Notamacropus eugenii: one gene and its partner. The protein of the gene in region 2 purifies or fractionates together with the protein of the main gene of each other region. This does not show direct contact. Links are inferred from orthologs where the notes say so. Each region holds a gene or a part of one and is shown on either strand. Other genes may lie near its edges.

The links. The genes of interacting proteins can lie anywhere in the genome.
Region 1: the proteins of NCBP3 (region 2) and THOC5 purify together in Homo sapiens (co-immunoprecipitation; 3 studies listed by BioGRID and IntAct, with this or other methods). This does not show direct contact. The link is inferred for Notamacropus eugenii from reciprocal best matches to the Homo sapiens genes NCBP3 and THOC5.

The regions. Positions count from the first base shown.
Region 1 is NC_092875.1:16,146,997-16,150,741, reverse strand, and holds the start of THOC5 (THO complex subunit 5), read right to left. Parts: upstream 2,730-3,745; 5' UTR 2,526-2,729; intron 1-2,525. UniProt on the Homo sapiens protein: Component of the THO subcomplex of the TREX complex which is thought to couple mRNA transcription, processing and nuclear export, and which specifically associates with spliced mRNA and not with unspliced pre-mRNA.
Region 2 is NC_092877.1:388,342,064-388,345,808, forward strand, and holds the start of NCBP3 (nuclear cap-binding protein subunit 3), read right to left. Parts: upstream 2,826-3,745; 5' UTR 2,811-2,825; coding exon 2,610-2,810; intron 2,506-2,609; coding exon 2,440-2,505; intron 1,078-2,439; coding exon 972-1,077; intron 1-971. UniProt on the Homo sapiens protein: Associates with NCBP1/CBP80 to form an alternative cap-binding complex (CBC) which plays a key role in mRNA export. NCBP3 serves as adapter protein linking the capped RNAs (m7GpppG-capped RNA) to NCBP1/CBP80.

The sequences.
Region 1 (3,745 bases), on a different chromosome or scaffold from region 2:
TCCCAGACACTTACTACTGTGTGACAATGGGCAAGTTGCTCAGCCTCAGTTTCCTCATCTGTAAAATGGAGATTAATAATAGCACCTACCTTCCAGGATTGCTGCAAGGATCAAATAAGGTAATATACAGAAAATGGGTACAGAACTTAAAGTGTTCTGTGTTCAGTCTTATACCTCAGCCATTCTCTACTTTTCCCTCTCTCCCCAAATTTAATCAGCTGCAGGTCTACCTGATTTTAACTCCTCTCCACTCCCAAGTGAGTCAACGTAAGCGAAGTGCTACATAAATGCTTTTATCATCATTGAGTTCACACCCTGGTACTTCTCACCTGGGCTATTTCAATAGCTCTCTGTCTGGCCTCCAATCCAGTGCATCCTCATAGGACTGTCAAAATAAGCCTCCTAAAGCACAAGTCTCTGCTCAAGAATCTCAGAGCCCTTATGGCCTCCAGGACAAAATACAAATGCCTCAGCTTGGCATTCAAAGACTTTCACAACTTAGCAGCCGCCGCCTTCCAAAGCCATTCTTGGGAGCTCTGCGTGGGGAGCACTGGCCTAAAGGCTACTCCTCAAATTTGGCCTGGCCTCTTCACTTCCATGCCTTTGCCTAAGCTGTAGCTCCCCACTCCCCCCAAGTTTTCACTGTCTCATCTCCACTGTCTATAATACCTGCCTTCCCTCAAGGATCACCTCACATGCCATCTCCTAAGAGAAGCAGTCTCTGATATTCCTGTGAATTGTGCCCACTCTCTCCTCTTCCAATGTTCATACCTATGCTGGTCTACATGGTGAGTCTCTCCAAAAACACATGAGCATCTTCAAAGTAAAGCCTTCTGCTTTGTCTCGCTTAACAGTGAGCCTGCCCACTGAACAAAAGCTCCCTGGCCTGGCAAGTCTTGGGCTGTCTCTCATCCAGGGCTCAGGCAAGGAAGGGGCTTTGCTCTCAAGCATTTATTAAGTTCTGGTTGTGGTGCAGGAGAGTGAACACTGAATTTGGAGCCTGTGTGGCCCTGGATAAATCATTTAACCTCTCTAGTTCTCAAGTTTTCTCATGTGTAAAATGATAGGGTTACACTGAACAAGCCCCAAGGTCGACTCCTGCTCTACAGCTAATCTCATGAATCAAATGCTATTAGATACCCTGGAGGTGACCAAAAAAACCCCCACAAAACTCAGTCCCTAAGAGTCCTTATGCCAGGCTCAGAAAAAACAAAGACAAGCTGAGACGGCTCCTGCCCTTCAGGAGTCTACACAATAGAGTGGAGGAAAGCAAGAGAACATAGAACCAGTTTTAAAACTGGACATGACTTTATAGATCACTTAGATCCCCTTTTTATAGGGAGAAACTGAGGCCGAGGGAATGTCCCCACCTAAAGTCACCTGGAATGTGAGAAACAGCGTGCATGTGTGAAAGTAAGTGCAAAGCAGCTGCTGGGGAATGGGGGAGGGCTCACAGCTTGGGTCCATCGGCCCACTGTGTTTACTAGGCACCTGCTATGAGGAGGTGCCCTGTTCAGGGCTCTGAAGGGAGCACTAATGCAAGGAAACCAGCCCACTCGCCAGGAACTTTAGTTCAGAAAGGCCCCCTAAGGAGATAAGGGGCAGTCTGAGGGGAGCCCAGGCTCCATGCAGGAGGCAGAGGTGAGGAAGGAACACATCCCCGGGCTGGCCAGAGCCAGCAAGGCCTTAATGCGCTTTTCATTCATTTATTTAAAGCACAGGGAACACGAGGGGCAGTCAGGGAGGCAGGAGGTGGCCCACGGCTCACAGCAGGTGCACCAAATGTCTGGTAAAGGGCAAAGGCCACAATCCAACTTGGGGCACCAGGCTGGGCCGTTCACCTGGAGGAGTTTGGGGCTGGCGAAGGCCAGGAGTCTGTACTAGATCCGGGGCCCCAGGGGCCACCAGGACTACTTGAAGAGGGGACTGTGCCTGGGCGGGGGGAGGTCTGGGAGAGATGAGCCAGGACAGGGGGTCTGGGGAGGGGGGCACAGGAGGGAGAGGGGGCGCTGGGGGGGGGCTCCTGCAGGGGGGGGCCGAGTTGGAGGGAAGGGTTCTACAGGAAAGTTAGGGGTACTGGGGAGGGGCTCGGGTGGGGGAGGGGGCACTGGGGAAAGGACTCAGGAGGGAGAGGGGGCGCTGGGGGGGGGCTCCTGCAGGGGGGGGCCGAGTTGGAGGGAAGGGTTCTACAGGAAAGTTAGGGGTACTGGGGAGGGGCTCGGGTGGGGGAGGGGGCACTGGGGAAAGGACTCAGGAGGGAGAGGGGGCGCTGGGGGGGGGGGGGCTCCTGCAGGGGGGGGCCGAGTTGGAGGGAAGGGTTCTACAGGAAAGTTAGGGGTACTGGGGAGGGGCTCGGGTGGGGGAGGGGGCACTGGGGAAAGGACTCAGGAGGGAGAGGGGGCGCTGGGGGGGGGGCTCCTGCAGGGGGGGGCCGAGTTGGAGGGAAGGGTTCTACAGGAAAGTTAGGGGTCCTGGGGAGGGGCTCGGGTGGGGGCCCGCGGAGGAGGGGAGGGGGGCGTACGTACCTGAGGACGGCCCGGGACTCGGGCTGACGCCCGCACAGGCCGCTGGGGCTCCCGCGGGGCAGACGGAAGCAGGACCCGGACGCCCACCGGACGGGGGCGGAACACTGCGGGAAACAAAGCCCGCCGCCTCGCCCAGCGACAGCGCGGACCAAACGAGAGCCGGCGAGACTTCCGCTTCCGGCGGCCAGAGAGCCCGAGCCACGCCCACCAAATACCATAGAGAAACAGGCGGGAGGAGCGGCGCGCGCCGGGGCTCTCTGCTGCCCCCTAGTGGCCCCTCTCTGCTTAGTCTGGCTCCCGACAGTGGTTGGGAGCAGCGCGATCTAGCGGACACAGAGTCAAAGCCCACCTCGGCCCCCTGTGGTGCTGTGTGAGGAGCGAGTCACAACTTCAGTTAAGCAGAGCAGATCCGGTCAGCATGGGTGGAAATAAGAGGTCCAGGCAATGGTGATATATAACATTTATTCATCAACCGCAGATAGAGAAGGTACTTGTAGTTGGAGCTGCGCCTTGAAAGAAAATAGGGATTCTGAGAGGTGGAAGGTATTTTGTCTCACTTCCATCCCTGAGAATCCCTGATTTCCGGCAAGGCATTCTTCAAGCCATTTTTATTAGATAGCCTATGATTTCAATGGTGAAGGATCAAAGCCTTGTCTGCACCTTAAGAGTCTTAAAGGCTTCTCATTTCTAAGTCTTAAGAGATTGGATGGGATTCTGAGAAGTTAGTGAACCCCACTCATTTGACAGATAAGGAACCCAAGACCCTCAGGGATCAAGTGACCTGATTAGAGCTACAGAGATAGGAAGTGATATAACTGGGTTTTAAACTCAGGCACTTTGATGTCAAATCCAGCACTCTTCAATTTTACTTTTATTAGTAATAATAAGCATTTCCATAAACATATTAAAAACACAAAATAGGATTGGTATGTGAAATCATGAGTCTCCATTACATACACTTAAAGACATACACTTTCAAAATTGGTCTCCTCAACTGTATTTCCTTCTGTTCTTTTTCATATATTTTCAAAAAAATGTTCAGTGGTCATCTTTGTTGGCTCCTGCTCATTTCTTCTATCTTGGGACCACTGGAGATATGGTTGGCCAATGTTTCCTTGGAGTTCTTAGGTCTTTCCCTATCATTTTTCAGTGTGATGTTATCTGTGTATACTTTGTTTTGTTTAATTCACAACACATTGGCTCTTACTTCCTAAAAACAT
Region 2 (3,745 bases):
AGAGATGCTGAAGAGGTGAAATGAACAAGAGATGGTACAGCAGGTAAAACGGACAAAAGATGGTGCAGGGGGTAAAATGGACAAGAGATGGTGGGGGGTGGGGGGGAATGGACAAGAAAAGGCGCAGAGGTAAAATGGACAAGAGGTGGTGAATTGGACAGGCCTTAGTACTAGCTTGGTTGGGGGGTGAGAGGGCCAGGCATGTTGGTGACAGGCCCCCATCTTATTTTACCTGGAGCAGGTAGGGGAGAAAATCAAAGCCTAGATCTGAAGGGGGCAGCCCAGGTCTGGGTTGCTGGGGCTCAAGCCTTGGATGTGGTCCCCAGTCTCCTGAGGGCATCAGCAGGCTCCTCACACATCCCTCTAGATCAGTGACCTTGAGGCTCATCTTTTGGCTCAAGTGAGGTCAGAACCATGGGAAGTTAGGTAAGGAGAAGCCTGTCAGACTTGTTCAATAAGAGGGAAATATGTAGGGATCTATGTGTGGCTCAAGGAGATCAGGAGATCCAAAGGAGCCCATCCCCCAACATGTTCCATGAGCACCTGGAAGGAAGGTCTGGGTGGGCTGGGAAGGATCTGCACCTCCAAGAAGACCCACATGGAGGGATTACCCAGTACGGTCTAGATCTACACAGGGGAGGCATTTGGAGTCACTGGTTTCTGGAGTCTTAAGAAGAGGGAGACCTAGCGCTGTCATCGCAGGGAACCCTGGCAGGAACCCAGGGGTTCACGCCACAGCCCCAATTTTCACACCCTCCCAGCTGGGGAATGAGGGATGAGTGCAGACTTTCAGATAAGTAGTTTAGGCCTTCCTGGGTCCCTTCCATTGGTGACAGTGCCTGGAGGTTACCCTCCTCAAGACAGACAGAAACCAGCTTCATTTCCCTCAGTAGTGTGGTTGGTTCAACGTCAGGACGCCTTTGAGTTTCACTGCAGCTCTCGGCTGGGGGTGGGGGTGGGGGGTCTCCTACCTTTCTTCATCATGTCTCGGTCCAAGGCCACATTCCTTTGGGCAAGGTTGACTTCGGCTCGGAAGTGAAAGCGCTTGGCTCGCTGCTCTTTCTTCTGGATAGCTTCCTAAAGAGCACGAGGAACCCCAGAGAATGAGATGGGTCGAGGCCAAGGCGGAGGCTGAGACTCGGAGCCCCCCGGCCTCAGCCTCCCTGCCCCTCTGGTGGTGGGCCAGGCAGGGAGCATGAAGTCTGACCCTTGACCTCATCTCCCACGCTATTCGGAAACTCCCTCCTCTCCACTCCCAAGTGCAGGAGGCCAGGCCCCTGGATGCTCGGGTCTGGACAGTGGGCCATGTCGCCTCCTGGGTCAGTGAGGAGGACAGGAGTCCCCACAGGCTGGTGGGGGAGGGGGCAGAGCTTTCAGGGAGCAGGGGCCTAGGTGGCCTGAGTTATCAGAGGACAGTCAAAGAGCCCAGGACTTGGTCCTGAGCAAAAGGCAAGACCTGGACACCCACCTACCGATTACTTATCCCATGCCAAGCCCCAGCCGGACACTAGTAAGTGACTGACAGAGGAAAAGGTGAGGTAGGTTCTGAATGTCACAGCATCAGGTGCACAGGCCCCATGACACTGAGGCCAAGGCAGGCCAGCAGAGCTGGAGGAAGAGGAAGGGAAGAGGGGAGGGGGAGAGGGCAAGGGGGCAGGGGGAGAGGGGGAGGAGGGAGGGAGGGGAAGGGGAAGGGGAAAGGGGAGGGGGAGGGGGAGGAAGGAGAGGGAGGGGAGAGGGCAAGGGAGGAGGGGAGAGGGAAAGGAGGGAGGGGGAAGGGAGAAGGGGAAGAGGGGGAGGGAAGAGGGGGAGGAGGGGAGAGGGCAAGGGGGGAGCCCAGTTCTCTCAGGCCAGGGACCATCGGCACCAGCCTGGGCTCACCCATGGGGGCTGCTTTACAGGCGGGGAGAGCCCCGAGGAAGGAGAACCCTTGGGGCCAGGAGGGTGGGGAAGCCCCTCCCCTTTCCAAACCCCGCGGGGGGGGGGGGGGGGGGGAAGGGAACAAGCACTGATTAAGCACCTACTGTGTGCCAGGACCTGGGCACGTGCTTCCTTAAGCTTCCTCACCTGATCTGTCTTTCAGGAGGAGATATCAAGGTAGAGGCAGGTACCTGACTGACCTGGTCCCCCAGCTGGCCAGTGGGGCAGAATGGGAACTCGAGTGCCCGTTGTGGCACCCCCTCCATCTCCCGCCTCCGAACCTTTGCCTGGAAAGCTCTGCCTTCTCCTCCTCCTCGCCCCCCTCCCCGCCGCCCGCCCGGCCTCCTCCAGGAAGCCTTCCCCAGCCCTTGGCCGCTCCAACGTAAGCGGGTGTAGACAGACTCCGGCTGGGCTCCCCATCCCCAACAGAAAGAGGTGCATTGTGGGAGGGGGCAAAAGCAACAAAGTCTCCGCCCGGGAGCCCCAGCCAGGTGAGCCGGCTCCAGGGCTCCTCCCTACCTTGGAGGTGACGTCGATGCCCGTGATGAAGCTCCCCGCCTTGTTCTCGTAGCGGCGGCTCGTGTCCTAGAACGAGACGGGCGGTGAGGGGGACCCCGACCCCGGCCCTCGCTCCCTGCCGCCCAACGGCCCCGGCGCGCCCGGCGGCAGGCTCTGAGGGGCGCACCCACCCGGAGGCCGGACCCCCGGCGTCCTACCGGCAGCAGCGAGCGCCGCACTGGCACGGCCTCCAGCTCGCCCTCCTCCACCTCCATGGGCTCGGGCTCGCCCCGCTCGGGGCCCGGCCCCAGCAGCCCCAGGTGGGGCCCCGCCGCCGCCGCTGCCGCCGCCTCGGCCTTCACCGACACCCGCAGGCCGCGCACGGCCGCCATGGCCCCGCCGCCGCCTCCGTCCGCCCGCCCTCCTGGCGTGCCAGCGAGAGCGCGTGCGCGCCGCCCAGGGCGCCGCCGTACGTACGCACGCGCACCAGCGAGAGGCAGCGGGCCGCCCAGAGCGCCGCCGACGTACCATCGAGATGCGGCCCGCCCGGCCTAGAGCGTCCCAGAGGACGCCCCCGCCCCCGCCCGCTTCGGGGGCGGAGCCGTTGTCATAGTTACGGCTTCCCGGCTCCGGCGCCTGCGCCTGTCTCCCTCCGGAGTAAGCGGAGGGAGGGAGGGCGGGGCGGCCTGGGGGCATTCGGCATCTGCCGCGGCCCCTCGGCCTCCTCCGCCTCGCAGGGCCTCCTCCCCCCAGGGCCTCCTCCCCCCACCTCCACTGGGGCCTTCTGGAGACAGTCCTTTAGTCCTAAGTGGCCGGAGGCTCGGGCACCTCGGGTGCCCCCACGGCCTGGACTGTGTTTCCTTAAGCATTTATGAAGCCCTTGCTGTATGCTCCACGCCTTGCCCTCGAGGGTCTGACGGTCTGACGGGACTGCCACACCCAGAAGGCTTGGGGGCTGACGCAAGTCCCCAAATTTGTGATCCTTTAAAAGCATGCCCACAAGTGGACAGGCCTCCAGAAGAGCCCCAGAGCCACTGAAGGGATGGAGAGACGGCTCAGGGTTTGGGGTTGAGTCTGAGCTGGGGCTGGGGGCTGGGGGCAGGGAAGCTGTGCGGGCCGTGGAGCCTTGGCACAAGGAGGGTAAGACCAGGGGCATCACAGCCCTGGGGATGGGCACTGCCCAGGAGTGTGGCTCAGGAAGGGATGGGTGGGGCCCGCTTGGTGAAGTGGACTGACTTGGGTGGCTCCTGGCGGCCCACCTCAAGGTCCTGGAGGGGGGCTCCGTCTGCGGCTCCTCTTGGTCCGGTGCGGGCGGACCCCGCTCCCT